Regions from separate parts of the Mus musculus genome. Here regions 1 and 2 are each reported to be linked to region 3. Evidence: microRNA targets listed by miRTarBase, many of them from high-throughput screens and not tested one by one. Region 3 holds a microRNA gene; each other region holds the end of a gene's coding sequence.

What was found. The annotated mature microRNA mmu-miR-34b-5p reads AGGCAGUGUAAUUAGCUGAUUGU and lies in region 3 at 3,721-3,743, shown strand. An mRNA with a match to its seed (bases 2 to 7 or 8) in the 3' UTR can be bound and repressed. Matches are read on the target gene's strand: a 7mer-m8 pairs with bases 2 to 8, a 7mer-A1 pairs with bases 2 to 7 and ends in A, and an 8mer does both.
Region 1: miRTarBase lists Pi4kb as a target of mmu-miR-34b-5p. Seed matches in the 3' UTR shown: 7mer-m8 at 2,798-2,804.
Region 2: the mRNA of Nav1 is a reported target of mmu-miR-34b-5p. Seed matches in the 3' UTR shown: 8mer at 2,739-2,746, 7mer-m8 at 4,508-4,514, 7mer-m8 at 5,224-5,230 and 7mer-m8 at 6,872-6,878.

The regions. Positions count from the first base shown.
Region 1 is chr3:95,003,401-95,011,013 of GRCm38, forward strand. Pi4kb (phosphatidylinositol 4-kinase beta) reads left to right here. Exons shown (of 11, transcript NM_175356.3): 9 at 840-972; 10 at 1,234-1,354; 11 at 2,359-3,537. The coding sequence ends at 2,540. It overlaps Zfp687 (zinc finger protein 687), which reads right to left. Exons shown (of 9, transcript NM_001357863.1): 2 at 6,945-7,613; 3 at 6,644-6,822; 4 at 5,943-6,119; 5 at 5,676-5,838; 6 at 5,185-5,517; 7 at 4,980-5,092; 8 at 4,672-4,813; 9 at 3,190-4,566. The coding sequence ends at 4,075. It overlaps Mir7013 (microRNA 7013), which reads left to right and starts at 768; the gene lies at 768-839.
Region 2 is chr1:135,436,328-135,443,940 of GRCm38, reverse strand. Nav1 (neuron navigator 1) reads left to right here. Exons shown (of 30, transcript NM_173437.2): 29 at 110-307; 30 at 2,162-7,613. The coding sequence ends at 2,257. Among named protein-coding and RNA genes, the nearest start is that of Ipo9, 9.6 kb to the right of the region's middle.
Region 3 is chr9:51,099,740-51,107,352 of GRCm38, reverse strand. Mir34b (microRNA 34b) reads left to right here and starts at 3,708; the gene lies at 3,708-3,791. Mir34c (microRNA 34c) reads left to right here and starts at 4,243; the gene lies at 4,243-4,319. Hoatz (HOATZ cilia and flagella associated protein) reads left to right here and starts at 5,275. Exons shown (of 6, transcript NM_177702.4): 1 at 5,275-5,608; 2 at 6,261-6,299; 3 at 7,283-7,353. The coding sequence starts at 5,383. It also overlaps a transcript of Btg4 not described here.

The DNA.
Region 1 (7,613 bases), not on the chromosome of region 3:
GGATCCCAAGTTTAAAAAAAAAAAAAAAAAAAAAAAAAAAAAAAGCTACCAGGAACAATGCCTTACATTGACCTCTGGCCTTCACATACAAATACACCTGTGTTGACCCACATAAACTATTTGTTGCTCTCTACTGATGGGACTTTGGTTCTGCCATGGACTGATTAAGAATTAAAATAATCCCAGCACACAGGAGGTAGAGGCAGGTGACTGAGTTTGAGGTCAATTTGGTACTATATATGAGTATCAGACCATTTGAGGCTGCATAGTGAGACCCTATCTATCTTAAACTGAGTCTGAATGAGGGCCTTCCCTCATTCAGACAGCTAGCTGCTGGAGCCTCAGAGACCTTTTCTTCTTATCTGTGTGCTTACTACTTAAAGTCAGAGTCAAGTCTGAGTACTAGAAGTACAATTCGGGAGAAAATAGCATGCGTCAGTCTGGCCTCTGTATTTGAGACTGACCCTTAGTTTAGGATCTTCTAGCCTCTGCTTCCCAGGTGCTAGAGTTATAGGCATGTGACGTTATTCACACTCAGTTTATGTTGTGTTAGGGAACAAAGCTAGAAAAGAGCGTTATAGGCAACCACTCTACCGTCCTCAGCCTTTTGATAATCTTAAAACTATTTTTATTAAGCTGGTAATAACTGAATTTCATACCCCAGTCATTCTTCATAGTTTCCTAACTTCCTTTTGTTACTAGTTTTAGATCCTAGGAAATTGACCCAGACTTGTAAGCAACAGGAAACATGGCTGGGGCCTCCCCTGTTCGGTATGAAGAGGCCAGTGTTGTAGCTTGAGATCCAGCCTAAGCCACACTTACTGTTGCCTCTTCCTCAGGCACAACGGGAACATCCTTCTGGACGCAGAAGGTCACATCATCCACATCGACTTTGGCTTCATCCTTTCCAGCTCACCCCGAAACCTGGGCTTCGAGACATCAGCCTTTAAGCTGACCACAGAATTTGTGGATGTGAGTCAAAAAAGAGAGGTGCTTCCAAGGGTAACTGTGTTCTTCCTCTGAGAGGAGCTGATGGACTCCCCCAAATTAGGAACAGAACAGAAATGGCAATAAGTCAAGACGAGGCAGGATTGCCTGGGAGCTTATGAAAGAAAATGTGGAGATAGTGATAAGGAAATTTACCATGATTACCTTAAGAGAGGAAGCTCTGAGGCCTACAGAAAGGACCCACCAGAATTTCTCTGTGCACACAGACACTCTCCTTGCTTCCAGGTAATGGGTGGCCTGAACGGTGATATGTTCAACTACTACAAGATGCTCATGCTGCAAGGGCTGATTGCTGCTCGGAAGCACATGGACAAGGTGGTACAGATTGTGGAGATCATGCAGCAAGGTGTGGCTCAGGAGGGCCCTGGCCTGGGGGACTCAGGTTGGGTTGCCTGCACTTAGAACTTTTAGGAAGTTGAACTCCACCTCAAGACTTAGGTGGGGGAACATTTCTCAGGGGGTCTCCATTTCCCCTTTAAAACATTCTTCACCCTGGCAGAACTGGTTTTGGGGGTGGGGCAGGAGAAAAGGAACAGCAGAAAGCTCTTAGGTATCCTCATGGGGAAACAGCCACTTTCAGCCTCCTGGCTTTCCCATTCTCCCATTCAATTGTATTTCTCAGTCTTCTTCCTTCTCTGCTACTTCTACTCACTTCTCTCCCATCACACTTGGCCTGACTGACCTGACCTCGGCCACTACCACTTCCTACTAACCTCTGCTGCTCTCATTTTTCCTGCCTCTCTTTTCTTTCACTTTGCCTCTTCCTTGGTCCCTCAGTTTTTTTGCACAGGACTCCCTCCTCTTCCAGTTCCTCTGGGACCCTTCTATCCCCCCCACCCCAGATATTTACCCTACCTAAGCTGCCAGTCTCCTCCTCCCCATCCTTGCCCCTACCCCACAGGTTGCCGTCGTTGCTCGGGAGCATCTCTGTCTGGCCCCGTGGTGACGGTGGCCCAGGTCATCTGTGAGTGTCTGATCTAGCATAGGCAGAGGCCTGCAACCAGATAAGTGCAGGGCCCATTCCCAGAGGCTCTTCCCAGCCTTCCCTCTGGGCCCAAAGACATCTCTCCAATGCTTACTGGGGGAAGTTGTGGGCTGGCTTGCCTTTTCCTATCATGCCCACATACTCTTCCTACAGAGAAACTAAGGAGTATGGGATGAGGACTGAGGACGGACTAAAAACAAGGCTTCCTGATTGCTTTTCTCTGCACAAGCAAAATTGCTCTGTACCATCAAGGATCCCAGTGGTGGGGAGGGAAGGGGTACTCTAGCTCTTTTCCTTGTGGCCACTAACTACTGGGCTGCCTTCCTAATTGTCTATGACCCTTAATTTCCACTGCTTCCCCCCAGGTTCTCAGCTTCCTTGCTTCCATGGCTCCAGCACCATTCGCAACCTCAAAGAGAGGTTCCACATGAGCATGACTGAGGAGCAGCTGCAGCTGCTGGTGGAGCAGATGGTGGACGGCAGCATGAGGTCCATCACCACCAAACTCTACGATGGCTTCCAGTACCTCACCAATGGCATCATGTGACACCATTTTCAGGCCTAGAAGTGGTGGGACTGAAGGCATCCTCCTTAGAAGGACCCTTGCCTAAGAAAACCCAAATCACAAAACCCCACCTACCTAACCACCTACCCAAGGGAAATGGAAGGCAAGAAATACAAAGGATCATGTGGTAACCATGAGAGCTTGCCAGAGGGTAGGAGAGCCAACCTTGGGGTCCAGACTTGCTGGGGCTTCCCCACCTCTTGCTGTGTCAGTATTACCACCTGACAGATCCCAGGACTCACTGCCCTCCAGAGAACAGAGGTGATGAACATGAGGAGGACTGGAGTCTTCTTCCCCTCAGGGGTCTCAGAGGTTTTCTACAAACCATCTTTTATTTTCCCTGGGTCCCAGTAAACTGGGAGGAGTAGGTTCTTGGTACTTAGGACTTAATCCTATGTTTGGCCATGCTGCTGCCTAACTCAGTCCCCTCCTGGGGGCTGACCCCTGGCCCACATTCCCGACAAGTGGGTCCTGCACTTGCTGAGGTCCCCATCATGGGGGTAAGGAAGGGAGAACTGACAAAACCCTCTGATGTATTGAGGGTACTGGCTTAGCCATGGGGAAATTTCTTACCCTGATCCTTTCCTCACATCCAGGGAAACAGCTTTTTTTTTTTTTTTTTTTTTTTTTTAATTTTTGTTTGAAATAAAATCCTTAGTTAGCCATCTGTCTTGTTGCTTCTGGGGGAGGAGTGCTTGGAAAGGGTTAAGTCCAGCATACAAAAGGCACCAAACACACAAGATGAAGGAAGATTGCTTTTTCCATCTGTCTTCGTCAATACTGCCTCTTCCCTGAGAAGGGCTTCCCCAGTTCTGACTCGCCCCTCCCTATGAGTACACATTATCCAACTCACATAAAAAGAAAAGCCTGAATGGGGATTAAACCACAAGCAGTTTTAATGGTCTGGTTTTCTCCCTCCTGTTTCTCCCACTGTTAGTATTACTACTACTACAAGAATAAAGGATTCCTGAGAGCCTGTCCTCTCCTCTCCCTGGAACCTACTTGACAGGACTCATCCCCACCAACCCCCCACCCCTAAATTTCTGGGGGAAAAGACAAATGGAAGGCACTGCAGGGATTGGGGTGGGGGTGTTAGTGCCAATGAGTGTTGGAGGAGGGGATACTAGGACAGAACCCAGCCCAGAAGAAGAAATACTGGTCTGTGCCTGAAGAACTCTAGTAGAGGGGTAGAAGCTAGACCCTGTACATCCTTCAGTCCATCCCTATGCCTGTCTAGCAGGCTTGCCAAGGTCCCCTCCCCCCTCCCCCCACAGTTACTGGGAGTCTGCAGCAGGAGCATTAGTGTTGGATTCAGAAAGGAAAAAGAAGGCCCACTTAAGTAGAACCTAGGGGCCAAACCCTAGAGGGAAGGGGGTGCAAGTCACTAGAATCCTCAAAAGCCTGTCCCTCAGGGATAGAGAAAGAAGTAAATGTTAAACTCCCAGCCCAGGGAGGTGACAGCAGCAGTGAAACCCAAGTCCCAGGGAAGAGGCCTGGTCAGTCTGAGGCTGGGGACCTAGTTGTCCCCACTGCCTCCCTGCCGGGCCCTGATGAATGCCATGCCATGCGTGCGGAAATGGGTCTTGAGGTTTAGAGGGCTGTCACAGCTCTTGCCACAGACCTTACAAGTCAGAGGGTCTCCAGGAGCAGGCAAAGGTGAGTCTCCACCCTCTGGGTCAGAGCGTAAAGGAGGAGCTGCTTCTTCCCCATCCCCCAGCCCCAGGACACTGGCCTTACCCCCGGCCCGTCTCTTCTTGTGGCTAATGAACCGGTGGCGGCTCAGGGAACCAGGGGAAGCAAAGCACAAGCCACAGTCAAGGCACTGCTGAGTGCCACCATCCACCCTCAACCCCACAAGGCTCTGTTCTGCTGAGCCACTGCTTCTATAGCGCAGAGGACCGTGGCCTCCTGACCCAGGGCCACCCCTCAGGGACTTGGCTGGTGGTGTTGTACTGTCAGGCTCCTCACTGCATGAGTCAGAAGACTGGCGGCGTTTCCGTCCTGGCCCCTGGAGAAAAGTGGAAGACACCGGGCCTCACCATCACCCTGGTTTCCTGAGACCAAGGTCTCACTAGTTTCTCAATCCCATGACATAAGGAAGGCCTTTTCTTACCTGGGCTCTGCCACCAGAGCCTCGAGCCAGGGAGCCTCCTCGGCCAGAAGACTGGGTCCCAAGAGGCAAGCCGTGCCGGACCTGAACATGCTTCTCCAGGATCAGGCGACTACTGAAGGTGCGCTTTCCCTCTGTACAATACCTAGCAGAGGTAAAGTGGGCAAGATGGCACCAGAGGCACATGCAAAGACCAAGACCCATAGCTCTTGAGAGAAGGAAGGCTACCACAGCAGAAGGTGGCCTCAAGCTTCAGATCCCTCAAAGAGACAGGTAGCCAGGTACTCTGCGAGGGAATGAGTAAGGGTTACCTGCATGGGTAAACTCGCTTGATTCCCTCATGGTTGACCCTGACATGGCGCCTCAGGCTTGGGGCAGAGCAAAAGGAGCGCTCACACAGGCGACAGGGGAACTTTTTCACTGACTAGAAAGCAAAGGGTGGAAACTTTCAGTCACTCAGGTCAACCCCAAGGCTACTTTCCAGTCCCACCTTTCCCAGAGTAAAACCCAGCTCACCTTACCATGTTCCTTCTTCATGTGAGTCACATACTCGTCACGCTCAGGACACCAGGAGTGACAAAGGCCACAAGTCCAGCCCCCAGGCCCCCCACCCCCACCTTTGATGCCTTTGTTTCCCAGTTCTCCTCGTCGGGCTCTTTTGGTTGGTCGGGGTGGCTCAGGGGAGCTAGGCAGCTCCTCTTCAGAAGATGAGGAAGACTCCTCAGTAGCAGGGGCTGCCTCTGCCTGAGACACAGCCAGCTCCTCAGGCTCAGTCTTGGGGGTCAAAAGGGCACCTCCAGCCCCTTTCCCAACTGCCTCTTCCCCCACACGTCCAGACTGGTGAGTGTTCTATAAGAAGACAAGGAAGATGGCTAGGTGGAAGAGAGCCTGGCTTTGCCAAAGTCCTCACTTCACCCCTGCTCCCCACTGCCAGAGGGTTCTCTGACCCCAGGTCAGGTCAGCACAGCTAGCCAGTAGCCATTCCCTAGCCTTTGTTCCTCCTGTACCTTGAGATGCTCCAGCATGGTTCTTTTTTGGGCAAAAAGCAGAGGACAAGACGGGCACTTAAAGACACTGACACGCTGGGGCAGTAAGTGCTGGTCAAAGTGTGAGGAGAGGAGGGGTTTGTGAGTGAAGACCGTATCACACATGGCACACTTATAGATCAGCCTGTGGGGGCAGAAGGGTCAGTATAAACATGGGTGATAGCAGTCCACCACCCTCCACCTCTTCACCAATCTACCTCACCACCATGCTCCCTCCCCAGGTCTCACTTGGCTTGCTGGGTGAGGAAGCTTGGATGCTGGGAGTAGAGGTGGGCATGGGCGCTGGGTGCAGACTTGAAGGCCATGGGGCAGATGGGGCACTTGTGGAAAACTTCGCAGTGTGATGCCTGGATGTGGGACTTGATGGAGTTCACACCCCCAAACACCACTGCACAGCTAGGGCACCTTGGAGAGGAAGTGGGAGATACGACAGTGAGGTAGGGGCATCTCAAGCACCACTCTTGTTCTTGAAGACAAGGAAAATTTCAAAAGGAAATCAACAAAGGAGCATGAGCAAGACAGAGGAAGGAAGGAGGCTCAGTCCCCAAGAGAGGTCTGAGAAGGCAGAGCTGGGATTCCACCTGGGACCCTGCTCTCCACTGTTCCCATAATGCATACTTGATAGCAGGAGGGGTAGGGTGTGTCAACACAATAGGAAAAATGATGGTTCTCCTTGAGAAGCCATCTAAAAAGATTACTGCTGGGTTGGAAAGATGGCTTAGTGGTCAAGAGCACTGACTGCTCTTCTGGAGGTCCCCAGCAATCACGTGGCGGCTCACAACCATCTGTAATGAGATCTGATGCCTTCTTCTGCTGTGTCTAAAGACAACTACAGTGTACTCACATTAAATAAATAAATAAATCTTTAAAATAAATTACTGCTAACAAACAGATCCTAAAGCTCTAATGAGGAGTTGAGCATGAGGCACCTGTATCCTACACGGCGAGAGAAATGCAGACAGGCCTCTCGAAGATGGGTCTGAAAATTAGCTTGTAGGAAGTTACCCCCACACTCGGGACACACATGGGGGGCTCGATTCTTATGTGTGCGCTGGTGGGCACTGAAGCTGCAGCGATTGGGGAGCATCATGGGGCAGGACGGACACACCTGTCAAGAGGTTAAACAAGGTCAATTAATGAGGGGTGCCCTGTACCTATTACTTTGAATTTTCACCTCCATAGAATCTGGCTGTCCCTTCCCCAAGAGAAGAAAAATGAAAAACAACTCACATTGCTGGTAGACCCGAGTGCAGGAGGGCCCAGCTGCTGGAAATGGGCTGCCATGCCAGCCTTGTCCCGGCACTGCTCTTTGCACTCCAGACAGCGAAAGCACGTGTAAACAGAGGCAGTAGGGGGAGCAGGGGGCTCTGTTGGGAGTGGCAGCACAGGAGCTTCAGTGGCAACTGTAGTGATGGTAGAGGAAGTGACAGCCCCCTCCCCCTTGCCCAAAACAGGCAAGGCCAAAGGTCCAGGAACAGGTGGGACAGCCACAGGCAGCAAGGGTGTGATGTCTGGCTGCCCCACCATCTGGTCAAGGGCTACAGGCCTCATGACCAAATGTGAGCACTGCATGACAAGCCCCTTGTCCTTGTGCTCACGGGCATGCAGAAGCAGGCTACACTTGTTGAAGAAAACCAGGCGACGGGCACAGTGGTTACAGGTGACCTCTATACGCATGCTCCTTCGATCATAGTGCCGTGCCAGGCTCTTCTCCAGAGAGAAGGCATCTCCACACTCAAGGCAGCGGTAGCCTGTTGGAGGCAGGGCCAGACCAGCCTCAGCTGGCGGACTCAGGTTTGGTCTATAAGCAGGCAGCAGGTTCTTGCTGTTGAGGATCTTGTTGAAGGCCTCTACCAGACTGGACTGGGTTCGGGAGATCACCGAGCCACCTGCTGTGCC
Region 2 (7,613 bases), not on the chromosome of region 3:
AGGAAGGATGTATTTCCAGGGACCGTATTTTTTATGAAACACCGCGAGACTACATAGTAAGCTTCCATTCTGTCGCCCCTCTCATTGTTCATGTTTTTTTCCTCTCCAGGTTCATGGACAGAAAGCTGCTTGGGAAGACCCGGTGGAATGGGTCCGAGACACTCTTCCCTGGCCGTCGGCCCAACAAGACCAATCAAAGCTCTACCACCTGCCCCCGCCTTCTGTGGGCCCCCACAGCACTGCCTCACCCCCGGAGGACAGGACAGTCAAAGACAGCACTCCAAACTCCCTCGACTCAGATCCCCTGGTGAGTCCTCTAAAAAAGAGTCACAGAGGATTACAGAACTGAGGTCATCCACTCTTCGTATGTGCTGATGGGGCTCAGGCATTGAAGGGTTTCAGCAAAGCCAGGACCAGAGTGAGGCCAGCGAGGAACTCTGAGTATCAGGATTCTTGGGTTGACCTCATGCCTGCATCCTAGCTGAAGCCAAACAACACATTTGGGAAAATATATTCTAGCCAAGACCCAAGTTTCAGGCAGTCTGTGTAAGAAAATAGACCAAAGAAAGGCTAGAGAGGTGGCTCGGCTCTTACAAGCAAGCATTTGCTGCTCTTGCAGAGAACACAGATTCAGTCTTCATTACACATCTAAGCTTAGGACTCCAGCTCTGCGGGGATCTGACACAGCTGACCTGTGTGGGCACTGTGTTCACATGGACATACCTACATGCAGACACACACAATTAAAAATAATAAAAATTAAAAATGTAGACACTCTGATCAACCAAGGAAATAGCACTGTAAGGGCTGTAGCCCTTTCCCTTCTGCCTCCCCTGATATTCAGCTGAGATTTCATCAGCTGCATAGAGTCTGTTAAATGTAAGCTAGGGGGAGATACTTCAATGGATCTAGCCAAAACAGTTAGCATCTTCAATATGTAAAGTAAAAAGATGCTCTCAGGGCTAGCAAAATGGCTCAACAGGTAAAAGAATTTGTCACACAAAGCTGACATCCAGTTTCAGGAGAGAAATGACTCCCAAAAGTTGTCCATTGACCTCCACTTGTATGACATGGCTCGTGCACAGCCACATTCACCTGCGTCTCTCTCTCTCTCACACACACACACACACACACACACACACACACACACACACACAAAATAAAAAAATAAATGTAAATTACATGAAGAAAAAAACAGCTTATAAACCAAAGACCGAGTGAGAGCTACAAGAGACATTTGTTTAGAGGAAATACAGGTGACATAAGGACATAAGATCTCCAACCTGTCTAACAATGAGGAAATGCAAATTAAGTCAAGGAACTGCCCCTTTACATTGGTAATAGACAGAGTGTCTGAAGCGCAGACTTTCCTACTCCACTGTGGGGATGTCCATTACTAAAACCATGTTAAAGGGTAAGTTAGCAGAATGCAATGAAACTTAACACACACAAATCAGTTGATCTTGTCATTGCACCTTTCCGGTAGGGAATAATTCCAATGGAGTCATAATATAGTTTTACTTAAATGTTGACTTCCTTGAAAACAGCTGTCCTCTATGTCAGGACACTTTTTGGTTGGAAGACTGATGAATAACATAGACAGAAGAGCCCGCCAGTTGTGTGAGTAGCACCAACCAGGCTCACTTAGCTGAAGCTTGAACTATAAAAGGGAGGGGCAGAGGAGTACCCTGAGGTGGTGGTAGACTTGACACAGTGTCTGGGGATAGCACAGAGCCTAGCTGTTGGGGTATAATCTACTGCAAGGGAATTCCAAGAGTCCAGGGCCAATTACAGCGCTTCTCTCAGTACTCCCGGTATAAGCTGGTAGGTATGGACCAGCATTCCCTGGACTGCATCTTGAAACTTGGGAAGTATTGTTCTTTGGTATCCTCTGCACCCATGACAGCTCTTATAACAAAGGTATCCCAGGGGATGGTTCGTGTGCATGGGTTACAATCAGGATTGAAGCAGTTGTCACTTCTTTATGAACCATCTCTAAACTCCATGTTCTTAGACACACCAAGGATCAGACCCATGATGATACAGGATTATAGGGTTTGGTTGGTTGGGTTGGGTTGGGTTGGGTTGGGTTGGGTTGGGTTTCCCTGTAGGCAGGACCTAGCACCCCCCTCTGCATTCACCCATGTCTGCCTCTTTTTAGATGGCCATGCTACTGAAACTCCAAGAAGCTGCCAACTACATTGAGTCACCAGATCGAGAGACTATCCTGGACCCCAACCTCCAGGCGACACTCTGAGGGCCCGGCAGTCACTGTCACCCTGGAGGGCAGAAGGCTGGCTTCAGCATCATTAGCTCTCCTCTGCCCTCTTCCTTCATAGCTCTGGCTCACCAGCCTCGCCAAGAGAACAGGAGGGAAGAAGAGGGCAGGAGGAGGGATGGGTTCTCGGTGCTGAACCTTTGAGAACTTCCTACTAGGAATTGGAGGGGGTGGAGTTTGAGAACTCCGTGCCCCTTAACTACATTTGCTGGCCTCCTCTTACGACTTAGGAGAAAAGATGATTCTGGTCTTTTCTTCAAGTTTTGTTTCACCTACAAACTCTTGGGCTTTCTGGGGAGGGATTCGGAAGATATAAACAGACAAACAAAAACAAACAAACCAACTACAGCAGTTCCAAGCTCGTTCTCACAAACACCTCTGAGACAGTCACATGTGGGCAAATCTAAGGGAGGCAGGAAGCTCTACAGACTTTCTTGCAAACCCTTCCCAGTTCTGTCGACACTGCCAACAACCTCCCCGCCAGAGACCTGGCCAGAGCCAAGAAAAGAGAAGCATGTGGTTTAACAGAAAAACAAAACAAAACAAAACAAAAAATATATGTGTAAATCAACCTGTAGAAGGTAAAAACGGCAATGGAAAAGATGAAGCTGGAAGGAGGGGCCCAGTTGCCAAGATGGAACGAGAGCTGCCAGATCTTGCCTTCTGGATGACAAGAGGGGACATTGCAAGATGGCTGCCAGTCTAAAACGTCACCAGACCACAAGAGTAACATCACAGCCTTCGAAGAAAGGCCACAAGCTGTCTTTCTGCCCTCTAACTGAACATGCATGAAAAGTCAATAAACCCTACTTTTTAATTTTTAAATTTTTATTTCTATTTTTTCCTTCCATTTGCCTATTTATTTGTCCCTCACCTCCAGTTTCCTCACATCAATAAGATACTTGGGTTTCCTTCCAGGGGATAGTTTTGCTTTCCAAGTGGGTTTTCTTTGGAGAATTTAATTCTATAATATTGGTACAAGTTAGACACCTCCCATGCCACTGTCCCTGGCATCCTTGGGGCTTACATGGGACAAGAAACATTGGCTCATAATAGTAAGAGAAGAAGAACTCAGTCTCTTTGGTTCCTTTTGAGAAAGCACATGTTCTACCTGGAAGCTCAACTGCCGTCCTCCAGCATGGTAGATCTACCCCGAGCTTCATCTCGGACTGGGAGGAAAACCAAAATACTGGAAACACCTGCCTGTCTTATGGCCTGTTAGGGCCCTCACTGCACTATTTGGATGGTAGCCACTTTGCCTGACTGAATCAAGATTCCCTAGCTAGCCCTTATTATTTGTTTTTGACAGATGAATAGTCACTTATAGGAGATGGAGCAACCGTGTGACCTGCTTCAGATCAGAATAAAAGGCTCAAAGAGTTTGACTTGGTGGCCAATATCTGCCTTCCAAAGAGATCTACGTCTTGCAGAAGTTGCCCTCTTCCTAACCCACACTCCTTCATTTGACAAGTACTTACTGAGTATTTAACCGAGTACCAGTCACTACGTTTTTAAAAAAGACAAGACTTGGTCCTTAAGTTCAAGGTCTAGGAGGCAATGTTAATCTCCTTTAAGTAACCATCCCTTTATTATCTGGACCTTGAAAATCATCTGAGAGATGCAGGTGAAGGCCAAGGAGTCAATTAAAAGAAGCCTTTGGTTAGATCTCCAATATGTTGTAGGCAGAAGGTTGGGGATCAGTTTAAATGAAGCCTGAAGAACTGTGGAATCTTGCTTGTCTTGAGTGGGAAAATCTACTTCTGTCATTTCTGGAAACCAGTGGAACCAAATTCCAGGTTGAGCTGCCTCATGGGCTAATGTGTTAGCGCTCTGCAGTGCAGGGATATATACTATACGTCTGGACCTGAGAATACGCTCTTCAGGTTCCTTAGTAGCACACGACGTACCAGAATCTATACCAAGATTCTTTAGGCAAACTAACCTGGGCCATTGTTCCACCCAACCAAGGAATTACGTGCCCCTGACTCTTAATAGTCTATTTTCATTTAGATCCTCAAGAAGGTCTAGCTTGTCCCTTTTGTACCCATCCACCCCCGGCAAAAGCTTCTATATTCACCTGGTAGCCCCAGGGATGACAGGGTCCTCTATTCTGGAGACTGTTATTGCTACTGCTGCTAATTCCACGAGCTGTGAAGATCCCCAACTCAGCTGCAAAATATGCAATTCTGTGGTGGGAAGAGGCTGACTGTCCGAGGATGGTGCTGAAATCACTGCCTTAAGGTCTTTGCTGTGCAGAATGAGAAGGCCCCCCCAGAGCTGGGTGTTCCAACTTAGAAGGAAGGGAAGACTGGATAGGCCTACTTTGGACATAGGTCTCTTCTGAACCCTATCCAAAGCTCCAGTACATGGCAAGGCTCAGACTTTTGCTAACATCCTAACGCTTGAGCCTTTCACCCTCTTTTTCTGGTGCTGCCCAGCCAGTGCCTTCTGACACGGATGTTACTGGCTACTTAAGAAGAAGGAAAGTAGGAAATGCCTTCTTCCATTCCAACTGCCTCAGACTACAGAGAGAGTGTCTCTGTGGTAACTATGGATACCATCGAGAATTTTATTTGGGTCTGCAGCAAGTTGATTCTGGAGGCCTCGCATACTTTGACTTCATTTCTATTCCTGGGATCCACCACCCTCTTCTCTCAGTTGACTGCTGCATTTAGTTCAGGCCTCAAATAGCTGTCCTCCAGGAAGTGCGTTCCCATCTAGTGAAGTGCTCTCGAAGCCTACACTTTCCTTCTGGAGCCTGGGACCCTGTTTACAGTTGCACATCTGGGCCCCTCACAGTAGGATCAACCATCTCAAAAAAAAAAGAAAAAAAAAAGGGATCATGGTTCGGTGGCAATTTCGGAAGGTTGAGCCTCCTCATGGTGCTATAACCCCTCGGGATGCTCATCCAGACTTCTAAGAAGCAAAAAGCCTGAGCTCCTCCTCACTGCCTAAGAATCCATGGCAAAGAGCAAAGCCGCAGCAGTCCTCCCAACCTACACACTTCTTGGTTGAGACTCCTAGGACTCCTCAGAAAGGAAAAACTGGGTCCCACAATCTCCAGGCACCTTCAGAAGAATGCAATCTATCTTAATTCTGCAACTTTTGCTATTCCCTTTCCTTCCAACTCCTGATTCCATCCCTCACCAAAGTTGGCTGGTGAAGAACAACAACCTTTGGAGGGCCTCAGCTCCAGGAGAGGCTCGCCAGAGTCCCTTGCACTTGGGGATGAAGACCAATAAGTTGTGTTCAATGTGTTTGTTTCTCAGTCCCTGCCTAAGCACTAAAATAAAATACTCTAGGTATTGGAGGCTGCTAAGGGACCTGATGTCTGTGCATTTTTCTGTCTCTGTCCTTCTCTCTTACACACGAGCAGTTTGTTGTTATCTTCTGGGGCTCTGTGGAACATTATTTTTGATACCTGCTTTCTGGTAACTCGTTGGTGCTTGTTTCTGTCTCTGTAAATCCTTATTCCAGTGTCTTTCATGTAGTCTAATCATTTGGAAGGTAGAGGCTGGCAAGGAAGGAGAAGGGGGTAAAAGATCATGGAGAGAGCCCACAAGAAAACTTTCTTGGTTGGTAAACATTTGGGTCTTGAGTTACCAACCTTCTAATCTGTCTATTCTGATGGACATAAGACAAAATAATGATTTTTTTCCTCCCCTTTTCATTTTGTGCCGTGTGGTTTTTCTAGTTTACAAGAGTCGATGTGGACTTCATGTACCCATCTCCTTCCTGATGGCTCTCAAAGATGAGTCATGCTATTCACAGGAGTGCCACCCCCTTCCAGGACTCTGAGGATGAACTCTTGTTTCCTGTCCTATTCCAGAAAAGTAGTTAGGCTCTCACACCACCTTCCATCACCCCAGATGGAACCCATTCCCAGCAGCCAGCCTGGGCACAGAGGACACATGCCTGATGAGGTGATCCAAATGACATTAATGATCTTTTTTATGGCATAGGGGTTTGGGAGAGGAAGTTGTGCTGATCACAAATCTAATCCAGGGTTCCAGAGTTAAAGTGACTCAGATGGTTAATCAAAGACCCTTCTCATTCTGTAGCCTTCCTTCCCATAGTCCTGTGCACTAGCTAAATCGAAGCTGGTAAACTGGCTCCGTGAGCCAACAGCCCCCGTGGTAAGAACTGAAATGGCTGTAACAACAGGTTGGCTAATAGAGATGGATAGGATGGATGCACCAACAGCTGTTGGTACCTTGTTTTTCCTTCAACTGTTGGGTATTGACTCTAGGGTTTCTCATAACACTCAGCAAGTACCCACCACTGAGCTTTCTCTCTAGCCTTTATACTAAGTTGTCCATAATGGCTCTGAATTCAGTAAATATTCCAAGCAAGCTTTGAATTTGATGATCACACACACACACACCTCTCAAGTAATTGGCATTTCAGCCTGCATCACTGGGCTCAGCTATAATACACTCTGTAGTAAGAACTATACATGACAGTTCCCAACAAGGAGGCCCAAAAATGTGTTACAAATGGCCAAAGCCTGAAGACGTTGTTCTTCATCACTGAATCAGCCTTATCAATCTTCAACCTGCTCAGGGATAACTGGGCCACCAGCTTGGCTCTCCCCACTGCCCAGGATACACTGGTATACACTCTAGCCCTGGAAGCACGTGCTGTTCTAGGGAAGATAGACTAAACTGGAAAGCAGCAGAGTTCAGAAGGAAAAGGAGCAGTTGAACTTTGGAAACCGCAGGGAGAAAACGACATTTAAAAGGTTTACCTACAGCCTGGCATGGTGGTACATGCCTTTAATCTCAGCACTTGGGAGGCAGAGGCAGGTGGATTTCTGAGTTTGAGACCACCCTGGTCTACAGAGTGAGTTCCAGGACAGCCAGAGCTATACAGAGAAACCCTGTCTCGAAAAACAAAAACAAAACAAACCAAAAACCAAAAAAAAAAAAAAAAAAAAAAAAAAAAGAGGTTCACCTATTTATGCTAGTCCATTCCGGTTTAACATTCTGGCTGTTTTCCTTAATGATTATGTCACAGGGAACATTCTCCAACGTGATCCTAGAAGGGGAACCTCTGGTTCTTGATTCAGCCTTTCAATCCATACAGTGGTGGCACTAGATGGATGTTTTCAGACAAGCAACAGCAGAATGTAGGAATAAATGCGTTAGGGATAAATTTCCCAGGCTCTAATCCAGATTTACCAAGTCAAACCTTTATGGCGGTGTCCGGCAATGCTTTTAACGGTTCTGTAGTGAATCCAGTACATAAGAGCCCTTGCTCCAAGATGGCTGATGTTTGGAGACCCCCCCCCAAAAAGAAACATCTACAGTCTGATTCAAATGTTAACATCTCAAAG
Region 3 (7,613 bases):
ACTTTAATCCCCATAAAACAACATACACTTTGTAGGCATCAGGGGCTCTCCGAGAGCCAGAATGATATTCAAACTCCCTACGCTAACGTTTCTAGTCTCTCATGCCTACCTCCTACTATAATTCAGTCAATGCTGGTTTTTTTTTCTATATAGCCCTATTTTTGTCCCATATTTTGGTGCTTTTTAATTATGTTTTCCCCAAATGTTAACAATAACAGCACTCGAATTCAAGATTTCTTAAGCACTTAGTAATCTAAGTACTTAGACATTCAATATATTTTATGTGATATAAATATATTATCTAAACATTTTATGCATTAATATAATAATTTATATATTAATATTATGATGCATTAATATGATTAACATAATTTAACTATATTAATTATCTATACAAACAAACTGTCTATCCCTCCAATTAAACCACATCTCTGGAGACTGTTGTTCCCTAGAGATGAGAAATAGACAAGAATTGTTTCTGGAGTAAGAGCTCCATCAACCTTAACTAGGAAGCTATTTTTGTTAGATTGTTCCTAAAAAAGTAAATTAACATTTGATACTGAAAGCAAAACTATTGGTTAATTGAGAAATGGAAACAAGAAGCTAATTGAGAACTTTTCCTAATGAGAGTTCATTGAGTTGAAACCAGAGGTATAGAGCTGCTGGCAGTTCATTCTAGCTCAGATGACAACCCACTATGATTAAACAGATTCATTGATTTGTAATTATTCAAGGGCTAAATTGACTTCAACTCAGCCTTGCTTCAACTTATAAACTAGTTCCTAAGCATACTATCGTGAATATTAATATGGTCATCTGACATTTGATAGTCTGCATAAAAAAATGCATGGTTTTATTTCCTAGGAAAGTATGCATTTTTGAAATGTTTTAAAAGAAGTGGCTAAAGATCATTGCTTTCTAATTAGTGTCCTTCATTCTTTCCTCCCTAACAAGAACCTTCAAATGCTGCAGAAATAGCCTGCAACTGGGAGGTTGTATCAAGAAGAACAAGAGCTCAAGGCCAGCCTGAGCTAATTGAGTCCCTATCTAAAAACAAAGAGGACGTGTACAGACGATGTGCTGTGTGTACTGACAGGAGGAAGTCATCTCTCGATGGCCCTTTTACAGGAGTCATAAATTAAGTCAAGATAAATTTGTCAGATTCACGCAGGAAGTTCTTGTTTTTGATACTTTTCATGGTTTCCTTCCGGTCAATACTATCAACCCATCTCCTCAAAGGTCCTACCCCATCTCCCAGATCAACAAAAACCCAGAAATTAAAGCAGTAAACAGCTCCTCCTCAAGGTGCCTTCCTGGATCTATCTAACCAAATGTAATGGTCTGCTTGGGCATTTTAACCACACCACAGGCATTCTTACTTAGATTAAAACATGAGTCTCCCTGGTCTCTAGACATGCCTAGGCATGACCAGCAGATGCAATAAGATCCTTGGAGTTTCTCTAGTAACTGTGGGCAGGATCAACAGCAACCCTAAGAACAGACATTCTTTTCTATTGTTGCTTTCTAACAGAACTAGGGCACACGCATTTTTTTTTCATCATTTTACTTTTTATCATTGAAGAAAAAAATTTAGTCTAAATTTCAAGACAGTTTATGCAATGATAGCTTTGGATGGAAGCAATAAAACTCAGGTAAGATATTTAAGATGCTACTAATAGAGAAAATCCCTAAGCTGGGTGGAAGCATGACACATGGAGTGAAATTGAGCAAAATGCAAAATAAATGATTTTTTAATGATGTCCTCCTAAAACTTGTAACTCTTCATAGTGTTTATGGGATGGAGGCTATTTCTACTACTTTTATTTATATTTGAACGTTTAAATGACCTTTTGTAGGATACATTATACTTTTCTCAAATACAAGAAGACTGAATACAAGATAGTTATTTACAAATGTCTTTCATAAGTTAATTTTATAATAATCTGGCATTTTCTACTTCATTTTCCTTTCACTTAAGCCTTCATAAAACAATGACTCTGAAGGAAAAAAACATTGTCTTTTACTTTCAAAGATAATGTTAAAATATACACAAGTTTATTCTTGGGAAGTTCTTGGGTTTTAATGGTTTCCACTTGGAATTTGTGTTGAATGTTCCTGATGATTGGCATATATTCATGTAATTAGTGGCATCTACAAGACCATTTGCTGGGCTTACAGGTATCAGTGTATAGCTAAGAAATGTCCCTTTGTAGACTGCAAGACTGTTGGATCAATACAAATGGGTGTCATACAGCATACAGGAAGACCACAGTCTGGGACGGCTACTTCCTACTGAATTCCACAAAGTTTGCAATCAGAGAATACTGTATATCCTCTCTGGGCTCAATTAATTAAAGGAAAGGAGAGGAAAGACTAAAGGAAAGAAATATTAGTGAAGATGGCGCAGAAATGCTGTCCCCTCAGCGCCTCCTATTCCCAATATACACAAACACGCACCCCGTTATCAGATATAAAATAGCAAAAACAAGGGGAATGTAACTGACAGAAGATATGGCTTCTCGGGCTTCTACAGACCTCATCCTTAATGTCCAAATCTACCCTTGCTTCAAGGATCTACCTGAACTCTCACCTCCTCCATGATGGTGTCTGTCAGCTCTTGTTGGCACACCTCCCACCCCCACCCATACCTGTTTTTTTCTATTAGGAAAATCTATCAGTTTAGCAACTTTATACTGTCTGGAGTAATAAATAATGTGTTCACATTTTGTTACCACCTAGACTGTCTGATGGGTAGTAAGACAAACGCCTGTTAGGTGCTGGATTTGTAACATTTAAATAAAACAGGAGCCCAAAGTGAGACTAGATATCCTCAAGGCTCACGGGGAGATCATCAAAACTGTGTCTTTGATCTTATAAGGGCCACAACTTTGACCTACCAACAAGGGTGTTGGTTCAATGTTTGACCAGAAGAGTGGCCCACACTTCACTGTATGGCCCTGTAAGAGGTAGTCCTAAGAAAGAACTTGGGTACAGGCAAGGGCAATCCTGCAGGTATGAGTGCCCAGGCCTGCTCAGGCAGGAAGGCTCCAGATGAGACGCCTGGGAAGCGGTTTCTGAGAATGGGCATATGAACAGTGAGGAGGCCTGGGGCTTCTTGGGCAATATATTGGGAAGGAGAGATGGATGTAGGTCTCTGCGCTTCTTTCTTCGATGTAGCAGTAACTACACTGTGAAGATAAACTTCTCAAGAATCTGTCTCTCCATCTCCCCGGCCCCTTCCCAGGAGGCTCTGCAGGAGCCCTCCCATTGCCCCTTCTGGTAGCTTCTGCCACCCCTCCCCCACTCGCCCCGCCCCCTCGGCCTCGGGGTTCCAAGGGCGGTTGGTCGCTGAGCCACGGTCACTCGGCCAGTAGGAGCTGCGGGGCGCGCGGGCTGGACAGAACCGGCTCTAGACTTGGGTCTGGAAGCCGTGAAGAAGTTGTTGGAGGCGGGTCAGACCCGGCTTGCGGGAAGAAGGACTCGGGCCGGATGCCCTGGGGTCCGGGCTGAGTCGGGGGTCTCGGGGGGGACGGCGGGGACAGGGGGCCTCAGCGCCTGGGGGTTCACCTGGGGTCGCGCGCGGCCCTGCTGGGTGTGGAGGGGCCTCGGGAGCCTGAGGCACCTCTCGCTCCGCCGCCCTCGCCTGTCGACCGTGGCGAAAGGGGGCGAGGGGCCCGACCCTCGGGAGCTGCAGTGGCGGGCGCCCGGTGCTCGGTTTGTAGGCAGTGTAATTAGCTGATTGTAGTGCGGTGCTGACAATCACTAACTCCACTGCCATCAAAACAAGGCACAGCATCACCCGCCGCCCGCGGGAGGAGAAGCCAGCGCTGCAGCCCCACTGACTCCGCAGAAAGCCGAGGCCGGAGCCAGGATGCGTCAGCAAAGGGCCGGGAGCACGAGGTCTAAGTGCAAGTAACCCTCGGAGACCGGCGGCCTCCTTTAGGGACCGTTCGGCTACCTGTGTGTAAGAGCCAGAGCAAAAACGGTTCAGTGATGTGTAAAGAGAATCGGTATACACCGGCCTTAACATAAAAAAAAAAAAAAAAAAAAAGGCCAGGAAGAGCCCCCCCCCCCCCCCCCCCAGAACAGTTCCTGCTGCTGCTGTGATTCACTGCCTGATTTCCACTTCTGAGAAAGCTATCACCAAGGCAGCGACTAGAGTCAACCACAGCTTGGCTGACGATTTGCTCTGGTCACACCAAAGTCTGAGAGCACCAGCTAAAGACTGCATGCTTTTTTCTGAGTCTAGTTACTAGGCAGTGTAGTTAGCTGATTGCTAATAGTACCAATCACTAACCACACAGCCAGGTAAAAAGACTGAAATTCCTCCGACTGAGCCTCCTGTGAATCGTCATTTTGGTGAGGACAGAGCCATAGGGAAATATTCTTACCATACTATTAGTGGTTTGGGGGGGGGGGGGGAACCGCTAGCCCTTAGCTGCTAAGTATACAATGTATCAATTTGTGTGGGGTACATTTTTTGTGATTTTTAGATATATTGGAAAAATAGAAATTATCCCTTAGCTGATTTGGTCATTATATTGACTTGTGATTATAAATCTTTGGACTTTGCCTGACATATTAATAACACTCTAAAAAATAAAGCGCCACGAAAATCTCAGCAATCGTGTTCATTTCCTTTCCAAAAACTGGCTTTAGGATCTCCATTTCAGCTCCTGTCAACCCCGTAAAGTCATTAAATGGTTAGTTGCTATACAGACAAAATCTCCAGGGAAACGTCTCACACATGATTGTGACCTGGAAGGGAACGTTAAATGTTTTCATAATTTTCCATGGGGCAAGGGAACTCAGCCCACTTAACCAGGTATATTTTTTAAGGTATTAACAGTTGCGTTCTAGGCAACTTTTCGTGGGAATAATTAGTGAACACGATTTAAAACCAGCTGGTTTCCTAATATCTGTAATAAAAGATTTGAGAGGTTTTAAATCACACAAGCTGTATCCACCGGTACTTCTCGGCCCAGTTCTAGATTAGCGCTTTATGCAGATGTATCAATGCAAACCTGAGAATTTCCCCAGAGGTAAGAGTGCGAAGCCTTGGCAATCTTGTCCAAAAGAGGAAGGCGCTCTTTAAAGCTCACATTATTGGGCTATCTGGGGGAGGAGGAGACGCTGGCTGAGGATCTAAGAGACAGTCCAGGACTGTACACATCACAAAGTTGAGGCTTTTACTCTTAAGGCTTGACTGGCCCCGAAAATTGTGACCTCGACAGAAGCCAGCTGCTGATGGGCCACAAGCCCTCGAGGAACCCCAGATCTACGGAAGAAGAAACACAGGCATTCCGGTGGTGGCAGTTACCAACAGGACGGTTCTCCGGTAGGGGCGGGACGCCAGAGCTAAGGAAAGCGTCCTGAGTCACCATGGAAACGGGGCCCAGAGGCTGTCCTAGCGGCAGGAAGGAATCCCAGGAAATCTGCTCCCCTGGATTACTGGTGTTCACCGGCTGCTCTGAGCAGGATGCCAATTTGGCTAAGCAGTTTTGGCTCGGGGCGTCCATGTACCCCACTACCGAATCTCAGCTCGTGCTGACCCGAGGCAGCAGTCAGAGGCTACCGGTGGCGCGGAACTCTAAAGTCGTTCTGAGAGGTGAGTAGCAAGGCTACCTCCTGGAAGGGGAAACTGCCTGGTCTAATTGTCAGTCAATTGAGAAGTACAAACAAGCAGAAACAGGCAGTAATAGGTATATGCAAATACACAAACAATTCTAAAACTGCTGCAATTCTCCACTGTAAAGGATCTCATTGTTACATATAAATTCATTCTAGAGCTGGAGAAATGGCTCAGCAGTTAAGAGCACTGACTGCTTTCCAGAGGTCCTGAGTTCAATTCCCAGCAACCACATGGTGGCTCACAACCGTCTGTAATGGGACCTGATGCCCTCTTCTGGTGTGTCTGAAGACAGCTACAGTGTACTCACATAAATAAAATGAAAATCTTAAAAAAAAAAAAAAATTCTAAGAGTCCCTTAAATGATGGCTTTTATTTGGCAAAGAGGATGGGTTAATCTAAGGAAATGGTGCTTAGATTAGGAAAGCATTTACATAAAATTGAATTCAAATTTAAAAGCCCAAGAAAAAGTTGTTGGCAGAGTCTAATTTAGGAACCCTGTTTCCTGACTGACAAGCCTTCGGGCCAAGGATGTATAAAGTGTTCTTATTCAATATTAATAGGTATATGAAATTAAAATACTGTTCATGTCAGCTTTTCCAATAACTTTCTCTTCATTTGTATTTCTTAGAGAAAAGTTCTGTCCAGCCCTTTCCCTTTGATCAGGACAGTAAGTATCAAGTTTTAATGCCTTTTTATATGTAGACTCCCCAGATTATCTTAGAATTCCTAGAAGTATACATTTACACTGTGATATAACTAAGCTGCATATCCCACACCTTGCTTCAGGGCTCACATACTCACCCAGAAGATAACTTTCTGACTCTACAGGCACTTTCTCCCCAGCATCCCTGACCCCACAGGCACTTTCTCTCCAGCATCCCTGGTCCCACAGGCACTTTCTCCCCAGCATCCCTGACCCCACAGGCACTTTCTCTCCAGCATCCCTGGTCCCACAGGCACTTTCTCCCCAGCATCCCTGGTCCCACAGGCACTTTCTCTCCAGCATCCCTGACCCCTCAGGGACTTTCTCCCCAGCATCCCTGGTCCCACAGACACTTTCTCCCCAGCATCCCTGACCCCACAGGCACTTTCTCTCCAGCATCCCTGACCCCACAGGCACTTTCTCCCCAGCATCCCTGATCCCACAGGCACTTTTTCTCCAGCATCCCTGGTCCCACAGGCACTTTCTCTCCAGCATCCCTGATCCCACAGGCACTTTCTCTCCAGCATCCCTGGTCCCACAGGCACTTTCTCCCCAGCATCCCTGACCCCACAGGCACTTTCTCTCCAGCATCCCTGAACCCACAGGCACTTTTTCTCCAGCATCCCAGGTCCCACAGGCACTTTCTCTCCAGCATCCCTGACCCCACAGGCACTTTCTCCCCAGCATTCCTGGTCCCACAGGCACTTTCTCTTTAGAGGCTGTTTCTTATCTCCACTTATGATTTACTCATCATGTAAAGGTATGGGAGGGTTCCTGACATCATGAATAATTAATGCAGTCTTCAGTTATTTACCAATCATTATAATGTCAAGACAGTATGTATTTGTGTCCCTTCCTACTCTATTCTCCCATATCCAATTTCATGTCAAAACTGTAAGAATTATGACAAAGTTGTGTCAGATTAAATTTGGTTTTATTTTCTCTAGAGGATGCAATTATCTTTGCTAAAGCCCAAAGGATTCAGGAATCTGAAGAGAGAGCAAAGTATCTCCAAAAGGTGAGCCAGCGCTTCATCTCTCCTGGTTCACCTCTCTGGTTCTCATTACCTTTCTCCATCATTGATAAATACTGTTTGTTGTTGTTGAGGACATTTTATTTTTAAATGCATGTAAATAAAATGTGCTACTTCTGCTACCTAAGCTTTGAAAAGCTTTTTTTGTTAGAATTTTAATTAAGCAGTTAGAAATTCTTGGAGCTGGACAGGTAGTTCAATTTTTAAGAGTGCTTGTTCTCGGAGGATTCAAGTTTGGTTCCCAG